2 linked regions of the Callithrix jacchus genome follow. The protein of the gene in region 1 purifies or fractionates together with the protein of each later gene. This does not show direct contact. Links are inferred from orthologs where the notes say so. Each region holds a gene or a part of one and is shown on either strand. Other genes may lie near its edges. The genes, in order: EPN1 and PHGDH.

What was found.
Region 2: the proteins of EPN1 (region 1) and PHGDH purify together in Homo sapiens (affinity purification with mass spectrometry; 3 studies listed by BioGRID and IntAct, with this or other methods). This does not show direct contact. The link is inferred for Callithrix jacchus from reciprocal best matches to the Homo sapiens genes EPN1 and PHGDH.

The regions. Positions count from the first base shown.
Region 1 is NC_133523.1:48,536,641-48,540,544, forward strand, and holds the start of EPN1 (epsin-1), read left to right. Parts: upstream 1-1,099; 5' UTR 1,100-1,352; intron 1,353-3,904. UniProt on the Homo sapiens protein: Binds to membranes enriched in phosphatidylinositol 4,5-bisphosphate (PtdIns(4,5)P2). Modifies membrane curvature and facilitates the formation of clathrin-coated invaginations. Regulates receptor-mediated endocytosis.
Region 2 is NC_133508.1:157,957,589-157,961,392, forward strand, and holds part of PHGDH (D-3-phosphoglycerate dehydrogenase), read right to left. Parts: intron 655-3,804; coding exon 522-654; intron 34-521; coding exon 1-33. UniProt on the Homo sapiens protein: Catalyzes the reversible oxidation of 3-phospho-D-glycerate to 3-phosphonooxypyruvate, the first step of the phosphorylated L-serine biosynthesis pathway.

The sequences.
Region 1 (3,904 bases):
CTGGGGGCTGTTCCCCACTCCCGCCCCCCCCTTATCCCCCTGTGAAGACGATGGGCAGAGGAGTGACAGCCGCACAACACACGGCAGCCGGCAGCAACTGGAATGGCAGCAATTAAGGGTGGGGGGCGGGGGTTGGGGGTTAGGGCAGGGACGGGACTGGGGAAGTGCGCACACAGCCCACAAGACAACATGCACCCACACAGACACAGAGGGAAGGGGTAGGGATGGGGACAGGGTGCACAGCAGGGCGGGGTACGACCCCAGCCCCTCCCAAAACAGCCTCTCCCTTCTCCCTTAGACCCCATTCTCCTCCCCTTCCCCACAGTAGGAACATAGCGTGTTTATATTTTATGGCCAAACTACTTTGAATTCTGTTGTCCGGCCCTCAGTGCCCTGCCCTCTCCCTTATCAGGACCACAGCTCTGTTCCTTCGGCCTCTGGTCCTCTCTGGTCCCCTCCCGGATTTCTTATGTAGTTGATTTTTCCCTCTTTAGTCTCCCCAATCTGCGCCCAGCCCCGTGGCTCTGTCCCTCTGTCCTTCTCCTACTCTCTGTGGCAGTTTCATATTTGCTAAGACGAATTTGCTCATTAAACATTTTGTTGTATTTTACTTTATGGAGCGGCTGTGTGTCCAGTGTGTCCCACCCTCTTCCTCGGTTCCGGGCTCGGGTGGGGGTCCCCTTGGCAAACTGCGGGCCCCTGACCGGGACGCCCCCGGTGCCGGCATCCGCATCCCCGGGGCCTTCCCTGCTAGCGCAGTGCGCTTCTGGGGGTTGGCACAGGCACGGCTCGGGGGGGTGGGGCGTGAAGTTCCCGAGTGATCTCCCACCCCACCGGCAGGAGGGAGGATTGGCCGAGCGGGACCGGGCGGGCGCGGCGTGGGTGCGCCAGGAACTCCATGAATTCCGCGGAGGGAGCTGGGACTGAGCCTCGGGGTCCCGTGCGGAGCCTAGCGGCGGCGGGCAAAAATGACGTAAAGAACACTTAGTAACGGGGACCTGCGCGCCGGAAGTGATGCCTCCCTGGTTGGCTGGGCTGCGGAAGTAACTCCCGCCTGGGCCGGGTGCGGCACGGGAGGGCGGGGAGCGCGGCAATTTCCGCTTCCGGTCCGTCGCCTTCGGTAGCTTCCCGTCTTCCCGGCGGCTCCCCTCCCCCGCCCGGCTCTCCGCGCCCCTTCTGGGCGGCGGGGCGGCGGGGCCCTGGGCGTGCGGCCCTCCGTGCGTTTGTGCGTGCGCCCGTGCCGCCTCCTGGTCCGCCGCCCGCGGCCCGGCGCACGCTCCGCGACACCGAGGCCGAGCGGGGCAGGGTGCTGACCGCCATGACCCCCCGGAGCCCAGCGTGAGGGGGCCGAGGTGAGCGCAGGGGACGCCGGCCCGCTTGCTCCGGGTGTTCGGGCTTGGTCCGCGGCGCGTGCGGGCTCGGGCCGGGCCTCGGGTTCTGGGTGTCTCTGGCGGCCTTTGTGTCTCTTTTCTTGGGTCGGCCTTGACTGCCCCCGTGTCGGTGTCGGTGTCGGTGTCGGTGTCTGTCTCTCCCCCTGCCCCTCGTGTCTCCCTCTCTGTCGTGTCTGTCGGCGTCTGTTTGCCGTGGGCCTCTGCCTGTCCCAGTGGCCTTAGAAGAGGGTTTGGACGTAGGAGCGTGTCTGTCCCGAGTCTCTTTCTCCTCTGTCATGTCCGTGTCTCTCAGGATTTTGTTCTTGTCTCTGAGTTTCCGAGTCTTCGTTTCCCAGGGTGTCCCCAGCCCTCCCCTGCGGACTCTTCTGCCCCGTCTTCGCATCTGTTTTTGCCCCCGTATCTATCACCTCCGATCCTGAAGTCTCTTTCCAGGAGTCTTGCTTGGTCTAGAAGAATCTGCCCCTTTTCTGCAGTTTTCTGAGTCTCTGGTGTGATGGTGAAGAGTCCCAGGCTTGGATTCAGAGGCCCGGGCTGCCTGCTAAGCCGTGCGATATTTGCCATGTGCTATTGTGTATCTCCAAACCTCAGTTGCCTAGTCTTTAAAATGGGACGTTCATAGTTCCTGCACCACAGGGTCCTTGTGCATGTAAATTGAGGTGATGCTTCTACAGTGCCGGGCCGTCTCTGGTACAGAGGAAGTGTGTAATTACGGGGAGCTCTGGTTTTTATTATTACAGTGCTTAGAGATTTTGACACAGGAAGCGTTAGGTGTCGGTCGGTCATTGGAGTATTCCTTGGGGAATTTTGTCATATTCTTTGTATGCTTTTTAATCTATTAATTCTCGGAATCAGTTTAATTTGAAATACAGTCATTCTAAGCAGTATCTAAGAACTCTTAGCTTTGATGTGCTAATCTATGTTTTTCTCCTGCACACTCCACAGTGTGAAGACAGTGCAGTGTCTGCTGCCACCCTTTTGGAGCTGTTCTCTGCTTTTTTCTCTGATGATAGCAGCCAGTGTTATTGAGCGCCTACTATCTGTGGGGCACACGGCCAAGCACTGTATGTACCCATCTTATTTAATCAACAGGCCTGCCAGGTAGGCCTTCTTTCATTTCAGAGTGGAGCAAACTGCACCTCAAGGTTTGTGCTGCAGGTAGCTGATGTGGCCAGGATTTGAACCCGGTTGATGTTCTTTTCCATTATATGCCATTCTTTTGTCTCTTACTTCTCAGTGCCAGGTGTCATATTGTTTCTGGGCCTCTATCTTTCCTCCTTGGCCTCCTGCCTCCCTATTTTCCCATGTCTCATATCTGCTGCTGTCTGTGTCTTTCTCACTGTCTCTCTGGGTAGTTCTCTCTGCCTGGGTTTCGGTGTGTCTGTTTCTTGTCAGTCTTCTTCTCTGTATTTGTTAAATTCATTTCTTGTCAGTCTCCTCTATATTTGTTACATCATTGCTTCATCAAAATGTGTTGGGCTGGGGCTGCTTTGGGACATCTGTCTTCAGGTGCCTGGCCCTGTGGCCTGAGTTGGAAGCAGAGGCCAGCCTCTCTCAGTCATCCCTATCTCCCCTGGGCTTACATCATCGTAAGGCTTTGTAAGCCTCCCTCTGTGGCTTGTTGGAGCCTCATAGACTGGTGATTAGAGCTGGCTCTGGAACCAGGCTGCTCCAGGAGTAAGGTGTGTGTCCGTGGGCAAGAAGCTGAATCTCTCTGTGTCTCAGTTTCCACCGTGTGAGGTGGCTGTGAATCATGGGGTTGTTTGAAGGGTTAACTGACTTAATACATGTAAAGCGCTTACAGCAGGGCCTGGCCGGGATAAGAGCCTCGCAAGTGTCCGCTGGTGTAATCATCATTTGCTTGACTCTCCTTCTGTTTCTTATCACCAGTTTTGGGTTGGGTTAATGTAATTTAGGTTAATTTAAAAGTACAAGTTTTGGAGTTCAGGTGGGCCTTGGGTTGAGTCTGCCCTGCCATTCCTGGTGTGTGACTTTGGTTGAATTATTTAACCTCCAGGAGCCCAGTCTCTACATGCACTGTTGAAAGAGGGAATGTCCCTCTCTTGTGCTGAGTGAGTGCCTGGCTCTCAGCTGGGACCCAGGCAGTGGAGCTGTTAGGTTCCTTATCTCTTCTGAGCCTTGGGCTTCGCCTGCCCTTGTCTGGTCCTCTGGCTTCCGCAGTTCCTGACACCCTGGGTTGGCTCCCAGCTCCTGCCCCTCTCTTTAATCCTTTCCATCAGCCTTCTTTCCCATGTGTCGCTTCTGCTGTGTATTCCTGTCCACTCCACCCTTGTTCCAGTGGTCTCACCTGCCCCCCACCCCCAACGTCCTCCTTGCATGGTTTACTGAATGGTTTTTCTGGGCCAGCTTCTTTGCTGGGAAAAGCCACGTCTAGACAAACAAGATCTCTGCCTGCTGGGGGCCTGAGGGTTGACCTTAGCTACAGAATCAGACAATATAAAATCGTCAGGGAGATTGAGTTTACTGATGAGGCTCCAGGGAAAGGCAACCATGGT
Region 2 (3,804 bases), on another chromosome or scaffold:
TGCACTGGGCAAAGGTGCCGTCGTTCAATAAGCCTGGAAGAAAACGAAGCATCTTCCTGCTGGGGCAGCACTGGGATCCCCACGCTCATCCCTGGCTCCCAGAGCCCCTCTCCTGCTAGACGGCAGCCTCCTCGATCTCATCTCTTCCTCCGCGGACGCACTGGGGCAGCAGTCCCTGTTATGCGTCTGGGCCAGACTCAGCTTAGAAACGCCTTAGAAATTCTTGAGATCTTACTGTTTCAAGTGGGTCTGGGAATCAGAAAGCCCTGCAGGGGCTGCAGGAAGCATCCATGGAGTCATGGTTGTCCCTGTGGCCAGTTCACCTAGGCCCCAAGCACTTCCAGCTGGCTTACCCCCCTGCATCCAATGCAGGGGCATCTAACAAAGCACCAGGCTCTGCAGGACCAGGGTGCCCCTCCCCACAGCCGGTTACCAGCGCCTGCAGAAGGCCCAGGTGGAGGGCCCATTTGTTAACTGGTCTGTGGCTTCTGTGCCAACCCACGATGTAAGGATGCACCTACCTGTGGTGGAGGGCAGGAGAGGAGTGTGCACAGTGATGAAATCACAGAGAGGCCAGATCTCCTCCAGGGGCAGCTGTTGAACACCAAAGGAGGCCGAGATCTCTGGGGAAATGATGGGGTCATACCCGATCGTCTGGTCAGAAGACAGAGAGAGGGAGGAAGTGTCATTCTTAATTATGAGTATTGTTATTTTTAAGAATAGCAAACATTTTGTGAGCATTTTCCATATACTCGGTACCATGCTCAGCTTAATTAATTCTCCGGTTTGATTCTGATGATAGCACAAAGGTGCTGGGATGGTGGCCTGTCTGCTTGAGAGCTGAGGGAAGCAGGGCTTCTAAAATGAGGAGGGGCACGGCCAGAGCTCAGAGGAACGTGTGTGTGCCTCCGTGCTCTGACCCCACACAGATGCCACAGTAGCTCACGTGTGTCTGGACCAGGTGGAGCTTGGGAGCCCTCAGAAAGCAGCCAGGGCGGGCAGTCACATGGGGAGCAGACAGCTGGGAAAGGGAGGAGAAATGGGAGCTACAGCTGGAAGGTCCAGTCCAGAAAACAGACAGGTGCACCAGGTACTAAAACAGAGTGAGCAGAAGCGAAGGAGGAGGGCAACAGGGGTGCAAGGCAGGACCCGGAGCAGGAGCAACAGCACGTGCCCTCTCAACCAGGAGGCCTGACCCGCAGCCTCCCGCAGTCACTGCCCACTGCGTCCCCCTGAACCTGGGTCCTGAACCCTAAATAAAGGAGGAAGGCAGGTAACTGCAGTCATCTGTCACTGTCACATTCAATCACTGGGAATTATTTGAAGAGAAATTCCCCTTAATCCAGAGGGAGAATATAAGGACTTGATTAAAAACAGAAGACACAGCACAGTACTTTCACAGCCGCTGTCCCTGGGTGGTGGAATTATTTTTCTCCTTTACTTTCTGTGCTTCCAAGTTCTCCACTACATATTCATAAATTACTTTTGAAATTAGGGATACAGAATAGATACTTTAGGACATAATGGCAAAGCTGGGTGCCATGGCTCACGCCTATAATCCCAGCACTTTGGGAGGCTGAGGCAGGAGAATCACTTGACCCCAGTAGTTGGAGACTAGCTGGGGCAATATAGTAAGACCCTTCCTCTACAAAGTATTAAGTAATTAGCTGAGTGTGGTGGCACGCACCTGTGTCACTCAGGAGGCTGAGCCAGGAGAGTCACTTGGACCTCGGAGGTTGAGGCTGTAGCCTGGGTGACAGACCAAGACCCTGTCTCAGAAAAAATAGAAAAGAACATAGTAGGGAAGAGGACTTCAAATTCAGTACTTCTAGGGCAGAAGCTGAACATAGTTACGAGTAAGGTGAAGCCTCTGGATCGCGTTTTTCATCTTTAGCCTTGTGGAACAAGGAAAGCCAAGTGGTCCCACACTAATGATCAGGCAGGTTTTGGGGAAAGATACTGCCACCCCCATGCCCTGTAAGAACTGCCAGCTCAGAATGCACGTGGTCTTTTTCAGACACTGCTGCTCCCCTTGGCTCTAAGCTATTCATTTCTTTTCTTTTTTTTTTTTTTTTTTGAGACAGAGTCTTGCTGGAGTGCGGTGGCACAATCTCAGCTCATTGCAACCTCCGCCTCCAGGGTTCAAGCAATTCTCCTGCCTCAGCCTCCTGAGTGGCTGGGATTACAGGCACACACCACCAAGCCCAGCTAATTCTTGAATTTTTTTAGTAGAGACGGATTTCACCATGTTGGCCAGGATGGTATCAATCTCTTGACCTTGTGATCCACCCGCCTCGGCCTCCCAAAGTGCCGGGATTATAGACATGAGCCACCGCGCCCGGGTAACCTACTCATTCCTGGTGGGGAGAAGAAAGTGTCCAGGGGAGGAGGCGGGGTCCCTGCCATCGTAGTCACAAGTCCTCTTTGTCTGCTGGCTCTGAGGCTGGCAGCAACAATGGCCCTGTTCATCTCTAATCCAAATGTATTTTTTTTCTCACATGGAGTGGGGAGAGGAAAGGAATACCAATAGAGATTGCAAGATCCAGACTGGCTGACATCTGTTTCCAGCTCAGGAGCCAAGAACAGCCTGGGGGCTGGCAGGAGGAGGGACCCTGCAGGCTGAGCCTGGTCCCCTCCATAGGCAGGTGCCTGGGGCTGCAGGGAGAGGGCTGGGGAGAGGGGCAGGTGAGCATCTTCCTCAGTGGTCAGCAAAGCACTGACTCAGCTTCCTTCTTTCACAGAGAGTATCTCATTTATCTGCAGATGACTGCAGGGAAGGAATCTCGCTGAGCAAACCTCTGTTCTCATTTTCCATTTGAGATAACCAGGGCAGAAAAGAGGTGAACTCAGCTAAGGGTTGGGGTTCCGACACTAGGAGACAGTGTTGAGGGGATGGAAAGGGTGACATCAGGCCCAGGACACACGTGCCTGCCAGGGTCCTGATGTGTCCTGGAAAGGGTCAGATATCCTAATACACAGAAATTGGAGCAGCTCTGAGTACTCACCATTCAAAGACTACTCCCAGAGAGAAGCCTTGGGGAGAAGCCTGAAGGGGTTCCCTCACCTCAATCGCAGCCCCAGGACAGACTCCTGATGTTGATACAACAGAGGAAGCCTCACTTTCTAAGCAGGACTCCAGGGCAGCTGGTGACTCCTAGCTGCCTGAGGTCACGGAAAGCAGCCCTGAGAGGCTGGTTGGTATGCTGGCTCATCGGAGCAAAGAGGAGAGCAAGGAGGCCTCCCAGTTAGAGAGGCTCCGAACGAGAGAGAACCTTGAAGGTCACGCCCTCTCTCTGCCCCATAGCTGAATTTTTAATTTAGCACTGGAACTCTCCCTACCCACATATGAAGACAGATCAGTTCAAAGCTGCAGAGGTGAAGGCTCAAATTGCCACCACCTGCTGTCTCCCTGGGGCCCCTCCTTGCTCCCACCTGTGTCTCTAAGGCACCTTGCCAGAACCTGAGGCTCTGAGTTTGAAAATCACTGCTCTGGGCAATAAACATTCCAGGTACCACAGAATAGGAGCTGCCTATTCTGGAGAGTGTCTGTCTTTGGAATAGCTAAGCAGCATAGTGGTCTGACACAGGGACTGTTTAACTACAGTGGATTGTGAATAGAGTCGGGTGGTATTGGGCAAAGAGTGGCAGCCTGGAAGGCTGAGCTGGATTCCACCAGTTCATAGCCACATTACCTTCAGCATATCACAGAACCTTCCCGGGTGTCAGTTTCCTTATTTATAAACCTGGGATAATAATTCTGACCCCACAGAGTCATTTCAAGCACAGGAACCCACATAGACCTCA